2 linked regions of the Struthio camelus genome follow. The main gene of each other region encodes a partner of the protein of the gene in region 2 in a complex. Links are inferred from orthologs where the notes say so. Each region holds a gene or a part of one and is shown on either strand. Other genes may lie near its edges.

The links. The genes of interacting proteins can lie anywhere in the genome.
Region 1: the proteins of CACNA2D1 (region 2) and CACNA1E are in contact, whole or in part, in a cryo-EM structure (PDB 8EPM), measured with the Homo sapiens proteins. The link is inferred for Struthio camelus from reciprocal best matches to the Homo sapiens genes CACNA2D1 and CACNA1E. Residues at the interface, in NP_001353796.1 of Homo sapiens: Thr170, Asp171, Tyr173, Ile233, Leu235, Ser261, Gly262, Ser263, Ser265, Gly266, Leu267, Lys270, Ala327, Lys328, Gly329, Ile330, Thr331, Glu366, Gln391, Asn393, Tyr394, Ile416, Gly417; in NP_001192222.1 of Homo sapiens: Gln110, Leu112, Pro113, Glu114, Asp115, Asp116, Lys117, Pro119, Arg122, Asn630, Phe631, Asn632, Asp633, Gly634, Ile1330, Gly1331, Asn1332, Val1334, His1336, Met1341, Val1343, Arg1346, Arg1393, Ser1394.

What each region holds. Positions count from the first base shown.
Region 1 is NC_090949.1:6,979,936-6,987,065, reverse strand, and holds the start of CACNA1E (voltage-dependent R-type calcium channel subunit alpha-1E), read right to left. Parts: upstream 3,020-7,130; 5' UTR 2,885-3,019; intron 2,692-2,884; exon of another isoform or gene 2,457-2,691; intron 1-2,456. UniProt on the Homo sapiens protein: Voltage-sensitive calcium channels (VSCC) mediate the entry of calcium ions into excitable cells.
Region 2 is NC_090942.1:11,268,760-11,275,844, reverse strand, and holds the start of CACNA2D1 (voltage-dependent calcium channel subunit alpha-2/delta-1), read right to left. Parts: upstream 3,009-7,085; 5' UTR 2,555-3,008; coding exon 2,460-2,554; intron 1-2,459. UniProt on the Homo sapiens protein: The alpha-2/delta subunit of voltage-dependent calcium channels regulates calcium current density and activation/inactivation kinetics of the calcium channel. Plays an important role in excitation-contraction coupling.

The sequences.
Region 1 (7,130 bases), on a different chromosome or scaffold from region 2:
AATTTCCTGGGGTCACTGTGAGCAAGAGCCTGGTAGCACTGATAGTGGTGATGGGGAGGGGGAAGAGGGGTGATTGTTTTCTCTTTTCAACTGTCACTAAAGTCATCAGTGTGGCTGTGAGTGATTCACACCAGTGTATGAAAAGCCTGTGACTCACAGTACTGGATGCAGTGGGTGGGTGCATTGACTCAACCACTCTGGGGAGGGGGCCCAGGGGGCTGCAGACTCACACATCCACAGGAGGATTTGTTCGCAGGGGGTCAAAGCCAACACTAGCCAGGAGACTTCCTTGGGGAACAGCGGTTACCACAAAGCACATCTGCTCCCCTGCAGACAAGCCACACTCACTCAGCCTTCAACCAGGGAGAGGTTTACTTTGTCCTGTGCAACAGGAGAGAAGGAAGCCCAGAGCTACTTAGACGAACACGCATCCCAAACTACTGCAAACAAACTTTATGGGCACTATAGGACCTCTGAGGAATGAAGAAAGTCAACCAGGCTAAGAGGCTCCCAAAGCAGCAAAAAGGGGAACTCAGCTCCCCGGGACAGCCTATTTTTGTGATCTTCTCCTCCACTCCCTGAAGCCAGAGACAGACAGCAAAGGAAACCAAGTCTTCCCACCACACTGGTGCTGAGAGCCCTGCCCCATGGCTTTGCAATGCCCTCCTGCACTGTGCCACCAGGAGAATCACATTGTTGAGACCCTCACGCTAGCAAACAGGAGGGACTTCCCACAGCTAGTTTGGGCAAGGGAAGTCAGGTCTCAAGTGCCTGGCCAGCACCCCAGCTGCTGCTTTGTACCAGCAGCGCTACCCAAACGCATGGAGGAGCAGGAGCAGAAGGGAATCTCTCCAAAAGACTCCCATTTGGATGGTGCTCTGTCTCCAATTGCTCAACCAGTGGCTGCATGCCCAGGGCTCTGGAGCAGCAATACCCTGGCCTTGCCAAAGATGCCATCAGCAGTCATCAGGGCTGCAAACGTGTGTCTCATCTCGCTGGCAATGCCTTCTGCAGCATCATGCCTCCTCTGCCAAACAGCCCCAGCACAGTGGATCCGGACCAGCCTGGAGTGTCACCACATCCCACAGCATCCTGAGCTGAGACCTCCCCATCTGCAGCATGGACAGACCAAGGCTGGCCTCACATCAGCACCTAAAGCAGGATGAGATCACCCACCCAAGAGGATGCAGCACATGGGAGTAGGCAGCATGGACAGGGTGTAAAGGAGCATATGCCTGCCCAGAATCCCTGGGGGAGAATTATTTCTGTCTCCCTCCAGCTACGTAAAAAACAGCAAGCCAAGAGCACCTAAACACACCCTCTCTGCAAGAAGCAGAAGCAGCCAGGAGAGCTACAGGAGCAAGACAAACAGCACCCTGATTTTGGGAACTGCTTATTCACCAACAGCCATCACCACTTCCAAGGTGGCACTGGTGGAAGACCCAAACTCCTGAGCAGCACATGGACCCACAAAAAAAAGTGCAGACCAGGTGCAGGGGAGATAACACAAGCCAGGTAGGAGCCCAAGGCCATCAGGCAAGGAAACCTGGGGGGAAAGCATGCAGACTGCACACTCCCAGCAGAGACCTGGTCTCCTCAGGGAAACCCAGTACATTTGGGAGGCCACAGGGGTAGCAGAGGAGTGGAGCGGGACCAAGCACACAGCCAATCCACCACTGGACAACAGATCTGCTCCAGTTTCTGAGGAAGGGCTCCCTAACAGAAACAAGGGTCTCAAGCATCCAAGGCAAGAGAAGAGATCTGCACCATCAGGGTTAGACACCCTGACCGAGCTCAGCCCACTCCATGGCCCCCCATACCCTCAGGTATGAAGCAGGGCAGCCACCATCCAGCACAGACCCACCCCCAAGCCCCTTTTCTAAAGGCAGCCAGCCAGGGTCCATGGGGGGACTCATCCTCCCCATGGCCCAAGCACAGCCCCCCAGCATCAGCAAAGCAGGAGCCAGGACAGCCGGGGAAGACCGTCACAAGCAAGCTTTAGAAGAGAAGCAAAGGCGCAATAGCTCCAGCCCAGCCACGCTCCTGGTCCCCACACACACCTGCTGCTCCCGCTGGGGTCTCCGGCAAGGCATCCGCTCCTCTCCTCTTCCCACCGCATCCGCACCGCTACACCCCAACCATCCCCCTGAGGAGCCAGCGATCCACCTTAAAATAACTGAATAGCCTCCACACACTCATAGGCTACCTTAATAAAAACTTTGTCAAACCAGAGCTTTTTCCAAAGCACAGCTGAACCCCAACGATGCAGACAAATCCTCTTTAAGAAAATATATATACAGGGAGTCCTTCTTAAAACTTGAGTCCCCCTGCAAAGAGCACAGCCTAATGCCCCAGTGCACGGAGGGAACACGGCAGAGGCGAGCGCGTCCACAGTGCAACCCCGCGCCAGGCAAGGAGACCCTCGGGACCGCGGACAGCGTGGGAAGACACCGCACCTTTCTCTCCACCCTGCCGCCGGCTCCTTTCCCAGTAGGTCTCCAAACCACGGCTTGCCCGAAGCAGCAGCATAGAAAAAACCCAGAGCATCCCTGGCAGCGAAGACAAAACAAAAGCCTTGGGAGAAGGGAGGAGAGGAAATGTCCACGGAGACCAAATTGCTGGAGGAGAGAAAAAGGAAGGAGGCAGCACCAGTTGACAGCAGCGGGAGGGGGGATTGTCTCCTGGAAGTATCATGGAAAAGGAGGGGCTGGAGCGCAAGAGCCAGCCGTTCCCCCAACAGGTAGCAGCGAGCGCCTGGCTGCCTGCGCTAGGTAGGGACGAACAATGCCAAAAAGCAAACCCGGCGTTACCTACTTTTGGAAAGCGAGCGAGAGCGCAGCGCATCCACCATCTCCACCAGCAGCAAGCGAAAGCAAGAGCTTACCTTGAAATAAAGGCATGGCTCCTGCACTTCGAGCTGGGTGAGGTCACGTATTATTCCAGAGACATTATTTGTAATATAAAGAGACAGAGGGGGGGAGAAAAGGAGACGGGGAGGGGGGCGGGGGGGAGACGGGAAGGGGGAGGGAGAGAGACAAGAGAAGGAGCAGAGGAAGGAGTGCAAGAGGAAAGGGGGAGGGGGGAGAAATAAAAAAAGGGAGAAAATAGAGACAGTTAAAATCTGTCTCCTGCCCACACAGTGGAAAAGAAATTTCTGACAATCGGAGAAAGGGAACTCGCACATATACCAGAGGGGGCAGCCGGGGAACAACAAAGAGGGAAGGAGCCGAGCTCCAGGCAGCGGAGGCAGGACCGTCCAGGCACAGCACGCACCGGGGAAGGGGCCGGGCCCGAGCCGAGCTGGCCACCGTTCAACTCCCAGGCTGGAGCTGAACACCCCACGTCCAGGACCTCTTAACAGGTTTAACATGAACCGACCCATTGCCCAGCAGACGCCCCTGTGCTCTCCCACCCATCTTCAGGTGGGACCAGGTAAGCACCAAGCGCCCACCAGGGGTGGGAGCCGGTGGCCACAGACCTGCAGGTCACCCAGCTCTCCCCAGCCTGGGGCTTTTCACATCTGCCTTGCTCTGAGCTCCCAAGGGAGCCGAGACCTCAACACAGCTCCTGGAATTTAACAAAATTAAAAAAATGCAAGTTTTCCAGCCATGCACCATGTTGGTGCAAAGGGGCCCCTGCTCCAACCCACACACCAGGCCGCCGCCAGCAGCCGGCTCCGCTTCGACCCGCGGCTGAAGCGGGAGCAGCAGCGAGGGGAGGCACACGGGGGGACGTGGCCCTCCCAGGGCTGCCGATGGCCGCCGCAGCTCGAGGCCTCCTCTTACACAGCCCAGAGCCCACGGAAAAAAATAAATCGCCGGGGAGGGTTGAAGCGACAGGCCGCAACTCGACATCGCTGCGGGTTCGCGCAGCGACCCTGCGGCCAGGCTGCCGAGCGGGACAGGCCCCACTGCGCGAGGTGGGGGACACGCTCAGTCGCCATGGCAACCACCAGCTGCCACCACAGGCAGGACGCGCTATGGCCCCCGGCCCCGCAGGCCCCTTGGGCAGCGGCACAGCCCAGCTCCCCTGCAGGCCCCCACACCCCAGCGAAGCTCAACAGGCAGAAAAAGCCTGGAGAGGAGCGCTGCGTTTCAACGTCTCCTCCAGCGTCCGGGCTCCCTCGGGCGCTGCAGCCCTCAACCCTTGGAGTCCCTCTACCATGGCCTCTGCCAGGGGCAGGCCGCTTCCCTCCCCATCGGGACATCCAGCTCCAGCGCAGGAGCGGGCACCGGGACGGAGGCAGAGATGCCCTCCGAGAGGGCGCCCCACTGGCTCCAGCGCCCTTCGTCCCAGCCCTGCCCGACCCCATCATGGCAGCCGGCCTGGACACAAAGGCAGCTCCTTCCCACCAGGGACGGGCTCAGGGTCTTTGTTAAGAAACATATATATATATATATGTTGAACGCCGTCAGTTGGGGGCTGGAGATGCTTTGCATTAGGCTGTCTCCATGGTTACCTGGCGGCGGTGGGAGCGGGGGTAATTGAACTCTGGGGGTTCACCGTGCGACACGCGTCTCGCGCTCCCTCTTTCCCTGCGTTTCCACGCACACCAGCCCCGCTTTGCCTTCCCCAGTAAAAGCCGAGGCAGCGCCAACCATCGCTTTTCGCTCCTTCAGCAGGAGGCGGCAAGGCGAGGCTCCCCAAGAGCTCGTTACACATCTAATTCTGCCAGCTGCACGGATGATTAGACACAAATGCAGATTAGCTTCCCCATCCCGAAAGAGAAGACAACCCCGATCCGCGCAGACACGAAACCAAGCTTCTCCTCCCACCACCCCGCGCAGCTACGGCTAGACAGCAGCGCGATACAGCGAGAGACAGTCAAGATCAGCGCTGACATCCGGGCAGCTTTCGTCTCGGGGGAGCGAGCGAGCAGCAGAGGCAGCAGCACCCACCCGCCAGCGCCTCTCTGCACCCGACTGCCACGCTCCCACCAGGCAGGAGCCCGCACGCACCCCAGAGACCTCCTGCGCTCACCTCCCTCGGCCACGCAAACACAGAGAGCAAAGGAAGCGCCGAGCGCCCCGGGCAGCCCCCGAGGTGCTGTCTGGAAAGGTTTTGCCTGTGCAAAACCACAAAGCAACACATCCCAGCTCAACCCAGACAAGCATCTTTAATAAACACATGAGCATCCAACTCCGCTCCACCAAACGCGGCTTCCTGGGAGCGCCCATCGCCCAGGGCCTCAGCCCGCTTCCCCAAATCCCACCCTGCATCATTTTGCAGACACTTCCTGGGCTTGATCTATTTTCAGTGCCCACTTGCTAAGCTTATTCCTGCACAGCAGCGCTCCCCAAGTAACCTAAAGGACCTGGAGCTTTGTAATAGTGCTTTTCTTCCTGGCGAGCACAAAAGCCCAACTAGCTTTCCTCCTCCCCCTGCATGTACAGCCACAAACACTGCAGATGCAGACTAATTGGAGAAAGTTCAGAGGGCAGCAAAGAGCCATGCAGGGCAGCAAAACATGGCCTGCTGGAAAAAGAGTGAAAGAACCAAGTTTTAGTCAGGAAATTAGGAGGCGGAAGACAGACATGATAGCAAGCTTCAATTATGTAAAGTGTTGCTACAAAGGTAGATGAATAAATCGTGCTCAATCCCCACTGGGGACAGTACAAGGAGTAATGGGCTGTAAATTGTAAATTAGACACTGGAAAAAACTCCTAATAGCAAGATGAGTTAAGCATGGGGATAAAACCCAGCAGCTCCCCAGCAGTCTAAGAGCTGGCCAGACAAACCCTGATCAAGAACCATCTGGATAAAGCAGGTCCCATTTGGGACCAGGGAAGGGACTCTATCCTCTTGAAAGGTACCTTCCTGCCCTACTACTTTGCATTCAGGAGCCACTTTGGGCTAGCTCTGCTTTGGTTTCTGCCCAGTGCTACTGGACTTGCAGCTTTATACTGCCCTGATCCATGCACAGCTCTTTCCCACTCCCACGCCTGCCCCAGGTCTCCGCCTGCCTCCAGCAGCTGCCATTCCTCTCCATGCACAAGGCTCCCCCACCAAGGTGCCTCCAGCACAGAGGAACCACGCAACAGCCAACACATCTCAGTCAAGCAGAAACCAGTCACCATCTCAACCCCGCCAGAGTCAGCATGGGACCCCATAGACCTGCCCCACTCCCCATGTCCTCCATCCCGCACGTGCACCATCCCCACTGGGAACAAGACAAGGAGTAGCGGGCTCCAAATTGTAGATTAGACACTAAATAAACCAACTCTTTACAGCAAGGTTATCTTGCCTGTCCTGAGCAAAACCAGATGAGCTCCAGCCCTTTGCTTAGCAGTCCCACACAGTTAGCAAGCATCTCTTCTCAGCAGACCTGAAGCCAAACTTTCTCCTTTCAGAACATCACCTGTTTTCTAACTTTGCCTAGAAGAACTAATTTTTGTTGTGTAACACTGCACTGCCTCTGGGTCATCTTTAGGAAAGTTTAAAAGAATTTTCTGTGTCAGGAGATGCCATTCATTTTTTAGCTAGAAACAGGTATGTCTTGTAAGAGTTTCACACTCAGAATTGCTTTTCAGTTGATCTGTTTATTGTCCTGCTAAATAGGCACATCGGTATTTTAACAGAAAGAGCCAAGAGGACACTAGGCACAAGCCAGCTAAAAGCATTCTTAAAAATGAAGCAGCCATGGATATTGATATTGAGTAAAGCCTCAAATCCAGCAGAGAACTGCTGCTGAAGGTGCAAACACATGAGCTGGTGGAGGGTCAGCTGGTACCATGCAGTGCTGAAGGGAGAGCCCAGCTGGGAAGCCACACAATCCCCGCACACGAGGATGCGCTGCTCAAAAAGGGATCTGCAGCTTCCATAAGGAGCAGGAATCACATAGGGATTTCTACACTGCTTCCACAGCTGGCAACCTCTGAGACCTGGAAATTACCTCTGGAGAAGGAATAATGCCTTTCAGGAACGACCAAAGGCTACCACAATGCTGCATGGATGTCTTTGCTAAGGTTTGTTTCTGAGGGCCTGCATATGCAAGAAAATATGTGCAAAGTCTGTTTAATAACAGAAGAGTCTATGAAATTTAAAACATTTTTCATTAGACTTACTCTGTCACAACAATATGATCACTACAGCTAGGACTGACAGGGAAAAGATTAGCCTTAATTTTAACT
Region 2 (7,085 bases):
AACTAACTCGTGAAAGAGAGAAAAATAGACTGAAAACAATGAGAAAAAAGTAGACAGCTAAGTACATAATATCAGTTAACCTTTGGTTCTTCAATTGTTAATACCCTTTCTCTCCTTTATTCTCTTTCTCCTGAGGTTTTTTTTCCCCTGTATTTAATATTTTTAAAATACAAAATCATTCACGCTATGGGCACTCCTATTCGTGTCACTTCTCTTTGTTCTTCCTCATTTGTAATCTATAGCAGGAAACAAAATACCACTATCAAGTGCTGAAAGAGAATCATAAAGTTGTTTTGTTTCACCTGTTACATCACTACTTTTTGCAAAGCAGCTGTCCCCCTTTATCAACCTGTTGTGCTGCCTCCTAAATGAACCAAACCTTATTTGCACTTCGATTCAACTTCAAGGGGGAAACATTACTATGAAGGATGGGCAGGCCCTGTAGATTGCTCCTACAATATTTCAATAGAATAAATAATAAGAAAAAAGAAAACTAACAGTAAGCAGATTGAGTGAAACACAGGATGCTGTAGACTAACACAGTATTCTGAATCCCTTAATCATAGATATACTTTATAATTAGAGTCCAATTATAAAATACTTTGCCCTGCTGACAGTTCCTATTATCATGACTGACAGTAAAGGCAAATTCTGAATGGAAGTAGCATATATGGACAGAAGGAACAATGAAAATCTTAAAGAAATGTGTAATGTTATAATAAAAGTGAGCTAGAGTTCTATTTGAAACTATAAAATCTTCTTTTTATTTCGATAAGTTCCATATTTCTTTCCCTTTTAAAATTAGTTAAATACATATAGGATAAAGTGTGATTACTTTTGTATAGTATACTTTACCAATTCAATAAGAAACAGTCAAATGCAGGAGATCAAACACATGAAAAGCACTGATTTAAAAAAGCCCTAGCTTTGCATTTTCTCATTCTTGCTTTCACGTGGCACATCTTTATAAATTACAACAAAATATATTTTTTAAAGATAATTTTCCCTTCAATTAAAGTCTACATTTATTCACTTAGAAGATACTAAGTGGTTATTTTACACTTATCTTTGTATTCCCTTCTTTCATTTAACAGTACAAGCATCCCTTTGAGTCATAATGGAACCGATACTCGGAACTGAATCCAATTATAACAACCTACCCACAGTACTAATTGGTGAAAATGCATTGCTGGTAATTGCTGTAAACTCATCCTTGTACACATAATGAACAAGGGCAATAAATTCTATCTAGCGTTAAACAATAGGGAAGACTACCATTAGCACTGTTTTTCTTATGTAAAATGCATTAAAGTGAGTCATCCACTTAGAAGTTACCTACTGATAGCTTTAACCCAGATTCTGGGACTAAGTAAGTGCTGCTAAGTGCTTCCAAAAAAATAAGGCGAGAAAGAGGAAAGAAAAGAAGGCCGAAAACACAGTCACTAGTCCATCGTATTTATTATTGTTTCTAAATCTATAGCTGAGCCTGAAATATGATGTACTGGATTATTTCCCCCCCTTTTTTTTTTATTGCTTGCCTTTCACCATATGATCCTTGCACTGCTCTGGGCAACACTTTCATGCTAATGAACATGCAGTGCTTTAAAGATTTCTATCTTACAGTCATGCAAACATAGAGCTGCTTGAAGCAGGAATATTCATCAGACCTCGGAAAGGCGATTTTGATAAGTAATGATCTGCGAGGCCAGCCCTTAGGCTTGTTATTTAGCTGTGTTGCTTTAAGCATGCTAGCGAGGGTCTGCTTTTGCACACGCGTGCGCACACACGCAAAACCACACGAACAAACACATACATAAAACAAACCCTGGAACTGTCAAAATATTCGTGGTGTGCCCTGGAAAATATCCAGGTAGGAGTGAGCTGAAACGTATATTCACAACTCAAAGCAACGCTGTCCTGGCTGTTTTGCAAGCCTGCCTGAGAGAGGCAAGAAAATCTATTATTTCTTGCGTTATTTCAAATGAAATTGCTAAAGTTTTGGTTTTTTCCTCCTCTTGTTTTTTTTTTTTTTTTTTAAACTCCCTCCTCCAAGAAATAGCGTCAAAACTCCAGCCAAACTGAAATAACCTTTGTGGGAGGAGGGGGCGGGCTCTGTGTAACTCGAAACTTTCCTCGCAGCCCAGCTCCCAACTGTTGGGGGTATATTTAGAGCCGGGCTGCGGCGCTCAGCCCCACGGTGCAGCCGCGGGGCCGGCAGCGGGGCACTCTCCCTCCTGCCGGGCCGCGCCTCGGAGGAGGCTGGCGGACACCCTGCCCCTTTTTCCCCAACAAAAGCAGCCGAAATCCTGCCGTTTGCCCTCACCGCCACTTTCCAGGCGGACTTACTTTATTTGCCGGTATTCTGTATTTTCGCCGCCGCCCGCGCCGCCGCCCCCGGCGGCCGCCGCCGCCCCCCGCGCCCCGACCCGGCCCGACCCGACCCGGCGGCGGGCACTTACGTGGTGGCAGAGGGGAAGGGTCCTTCCGAGGAGTGGTTCATCACCAGGGACTGGAAAAGTGTCAGACTAAAGACTAGCAGCCAGCCAGCAGCCATCTTCCTGATCGAAGATCGATTCCCCCCTTCCCCAAGTCGGCGAGGCGGTAATAACGAGAAGAATAAATGAAATTACTGCCGGGGGTGGGGGGGGGGAGGCCCCCGTTGTTTTTTAAAGCCTCCTCCGGCCCACCCCCCACCCCCTCGCAGGCGCAGCCCGGCGGTGCGCGGAGAAGAGGGAGCGCGGCTCTGGGTGGGCAGGAGGAGGAGGAGGAGGAGGAGGAACGATGGAGAGCTGTGGGTGGAGAGGGGGAAGAGGAGAAAGAGAGAAGAGCGAGCGATACTCCGCTCTGCGCTACTCCAGCAGCAGCTCCGGCTCCATCTGATCCGCCGCCATCAGAGCTACTTTTGTAACAGATCCCCGCTCACTCTGCGCGCCTGTGTGTCCGTCCCTGATTTATTCCCCTGATTGCAGAGTAGAAGGAGGAGGGCGGGAGGCGGGAGGCGGGGTGGGGGCTCCTGGAGGGAGAGAGGAGGAAAGAAGAGTTGGGGAAAGGAGGGGAGGGACGGGGGGGGGGAGGCGTTTGCCGGCTTCCCTGCGGCGAGCGGCGCAGCGGGCGCGGGGGCGGGCGCGGGCGAGCCGCGCTCCCTACAAGGCAGCCGCGCAGCTCCGCGGCAGCGCGCCGGGGGCCGCGGAGCCGCCCCAGCCCGGGGGGGGGGGGGGGGGAACAACCGCGCCCGCGGAGCCGCGCCGCGCTCCCGGCCGCCGCCCCGCGCCCAGACTTCGTGCCGCACCTCGGAGCCTCGCGGCCGCTATTTTTAAACGCGCTTCGTGCTTTATTTTAATCCGCCTCCCCCCCCCCCGCCACCACCGCCACCACCCCCCTGCTGCCCTTTAAGCAGCAGCCTCACACGGCGAGGGAATCCGTGTGCCGCCAATCTGGAGTGCGTTACATACATACGGATATGTGTGTGTATATATATATATATATATATATATGGGGGGGGGAGGTTAAGCAAAAAAGAAAAGACGCTCCCTTCCCTTTCGGTTTCAGGACCGGCGCTGGGGTGCGCGCGGTGCGGCTCCGCGGGCGCCCGCGGGGGCTGCGCGCCCGCGGAGGAGCTGCCCCCGTGGAGCGCTCGGGGAGCGGGGCGCGCACCGGGGTCCTCGGAGCGCGTCCCTGCCCCCGCCGCGCCTCTCACCCAGATACTGTTTTCAGACTCCTTTGGAAAAATCAGAAGGCAGATTCCTCTCCCAGCCTTTATTTTATCCGCCGTCACGTATCCCATCGCTGTGGCGGCTATATATTGGCCCTACAAATGGAGAAAGTGATCCGGGGACCTATTTCTTGGTTATTTAGTAAAGCAATTAAAAGTTCAGTGAAATTTTTGATTTTCTTTATGATCTGGGTTGTTTTTTTTTCCTTTCTACATTTTTTGTAATTAATCCAACAGGTGGAAATAAATATGCAGACCTGGTATTCATGTTGTTTCCATTCCTACTGTATCTGAGGGTCTCCTAATCTTGACTGTATTAATTCACAGCTATTTCTGTAAAACTAAAAAGTGCTATCATTTCTATTTTAAAGGTGACAGAAGGACCAAGGCTGAGCTCCACAAATGGAGAATTACATGTTCACGTTGCCCAGGCACCAAGCCAGCACAGTATTTCAGTTGCAATCTGTAAACGGGGTAGTCACTCTCCTGTAGTGTTTCTGGATTGGTGCTGGCAGTCTGGAGATTGTGGGCAGAACTACCAACATCTTCACCTACCCACCTACCTGCAGCTATGTAGGATTTAGAGTTTGGAGGAGAGTCCAAAATAGCAATTTCTGAAACAGTACTGAAGCCTGCAGGCTCGTTCGGAGGGTACCTGTCCTCCTGCACGTGTAGGTCTCCGTAGGCTTCACGGTTAGCCCACATCAGGTTGCCCTGGTGCACTCAGCTGTCACCACTCGGGTGCATACCTCAGCTTTCCAAAACGGGCGTAAGGCGCGGATTGCTGTGCCTGTGCCATGAGGTACGAGTGGCGACTGCAAGTCTGCTGGCATGCGGTAAGCTGAAGGTCCTGCTTCACGTAGGACACGTCTAAATGAGACCACAGAGTGGGGAGAGACTTGGGGGAGTGGAGTACAGGACCAGAGAAATGCGAGTACACGGAATAACGAGAGTGTGCCAAGGCAGAACATGGAGCAAAGGCACGGAGGTAAGAGGCTGGAAAGGCATAGGGAGTTGAGGTTGCCAAAAACTATGGCAAGTCTACTTCGTAGAGTACAGCTTAAGGCAGTTCCTCACTCCAGGGGCCCCACACTGTTTAAGGGTAGCACGTTCCAGTATCTAAAGGGGATCACTTCAGTTAGGAACATGACTGTTCCCCAGATCCCACTGCTTCCGCTCCTTGCAGGACTGAAGGTCAGCCCGATTTCATGCCTCACCTGCGCAGGGGTCCCCAAGCTAGACGTTCCTCTGTTAGTGGTGTCCTGGCACCCCTGCGGCTTCACGGTGGGTCATGCAGAGATAGGAATGACACTGGCAACACTCATTTGGAATAAGGAGTTTATTCCTTATACTCCCCTCTGCCCTTCCCTACCGCAAGGCCACCACAGCCACCCAGGATGCCCAGGAGAGCTTGTGTGGGGCACACGGCGGGAGAGTGCTCGCACTCAATGCACAGCACTGCACCAGGGTCCCCGGAGGCCCACAAGCTGCTCACCAAGCCATAGCCAACAGACTGGGAAACAGGTACTCTCCACTCCTCTGGCTGCTGTGTGCACGCGTGAAAGGATGCGTCTGTTGGTCGGGGAGAGAGGGCACAACTGCCTGTGCAAGCCCAAGTGGGAGATGCTTTCAGCGGGCGCCAGCGGCTAGCGCTCGCTAGAGCAAGCGAGACTGAGCTCCCCTCCCTCGGGCACACTGTTTCTGCATACACCATAGCAAACAAAGATCAAAGAATGATAACATAAAACACCGGTAAATCCAGGGGCACAGTGTTACACAGGAAGAATTTCTTCACCATTTGTATAATTTTCTCTACACCCACATATGTGATGCTGCATTCATCATTTACAGAGCTCCTCAGGGCGATGACTACTAATAATAATTTGAACCCCACTAGCACATGACTAGCAGTGCAACAGTGCAATGCATGAGTGTGGGGGCACCCCATCCAGTACAGTAAGGTCCAGATCGGAAGTCTTTCAGCAGTACCAAAACATTGTTATGGTAGCTGAAATGCGAAAAGGATGTATTACTGTTTTTAATACAGCAGTACTTGAAGTATCAAGACTACTGTGCTAAATATTTACAACTATATAACAAGACTCCCAGCAAGGTACCAATCCTGCAATGAACTCCACATAGATGAAAGTGCCTGTCTGCATGGAGCTCGCTGAAGCTCTGGGATGAAGAAGATGAGAGAGGATGTCTGTGCTGCAGCATGGAGGAGAAATGCCCAGGTTACCTCTAAACAGGCTAATTCAGGTGCAAGGAGCAGCGTGAACTGGAACAGAAGCGTGGAACGCAACATGGGTTACCTCTGGGGATCTCACGGGAAGGCTCAAATCTCCAATATGCAACCCAAGTTCAGCCTGCAAGCTTTACAAGATTTACAAGTAAGCTTGGACCTGAGCCCAGCTTTGAGACAACCTGGAGTCAAATAACAGTTTTCCTTCAGAATTACGTGAAGCTTGGAGCTGACTTTTGAATTTTTGCATTTACTCGAGTCTGAAATGCAGAAAATCAGTGCCACCCTGAAGCAAAGAGAAGAAAAGATTGCAGAAGCTCCAGGAGTAATGTATTGTTTACTATTATCTCACTCCTTATACTCCATGTATCTATTTATGCCTTAAAAGTGTGTTTATTTACAAGGCAATTAATAAGGCTGCATAATGTTTACAAGTATTGACCTAACCCTACAAACGTGTGGATAAGAGTAATTGTACTCAACTGACTTCCCACGAGCTTTGATGGGAAGGTAAGGCTGACTTAATGCATAATATTTGCAGAACTGGGATTCTTGGTATTGCCTCATATTCCCGTAATGCAGAAAAAAAGTCCATTTTTGTCATGAAATTTCGAAAAGCCACTAAAACCTCCTAAGTGACTAATTTATTAACATTTGATGATTACATTCCATATGCAGTCATGCTTTGCAGTATTTTAAATATTTGATTTCAACTTACAATAATGTTGCACCCCTGATATAATTTATCTGTGTTAAGGTTCCTAGAGATCTATTATGGCTGACAAATCTTCTTTTTTAAGTACTTGAATATGGACTTGAATGACAAACCACAGATGTAAATCTTTCTTCATTCTTATTTCACCTCATTGTAAATTTATCACCCGTCGTATCTGGCTGAGACCTTTCTGTGAAGGAGCATATGACTGACAGGGATTAATATATGGACAGGGGTCTTACAAAAAGTATCCTCTGCACCTACTGAAATTTCTGGGAATCTTTAAATTGACCTTAGTGGTCCTTATTTCGGAAATAAAATTTATTATTGAAAGATACGGCATTTATTTTGCATCAAAGACTTCTTCTAAATTCAGTATATCAGTAATGAGTATGAATTCATGATCAAGCCTT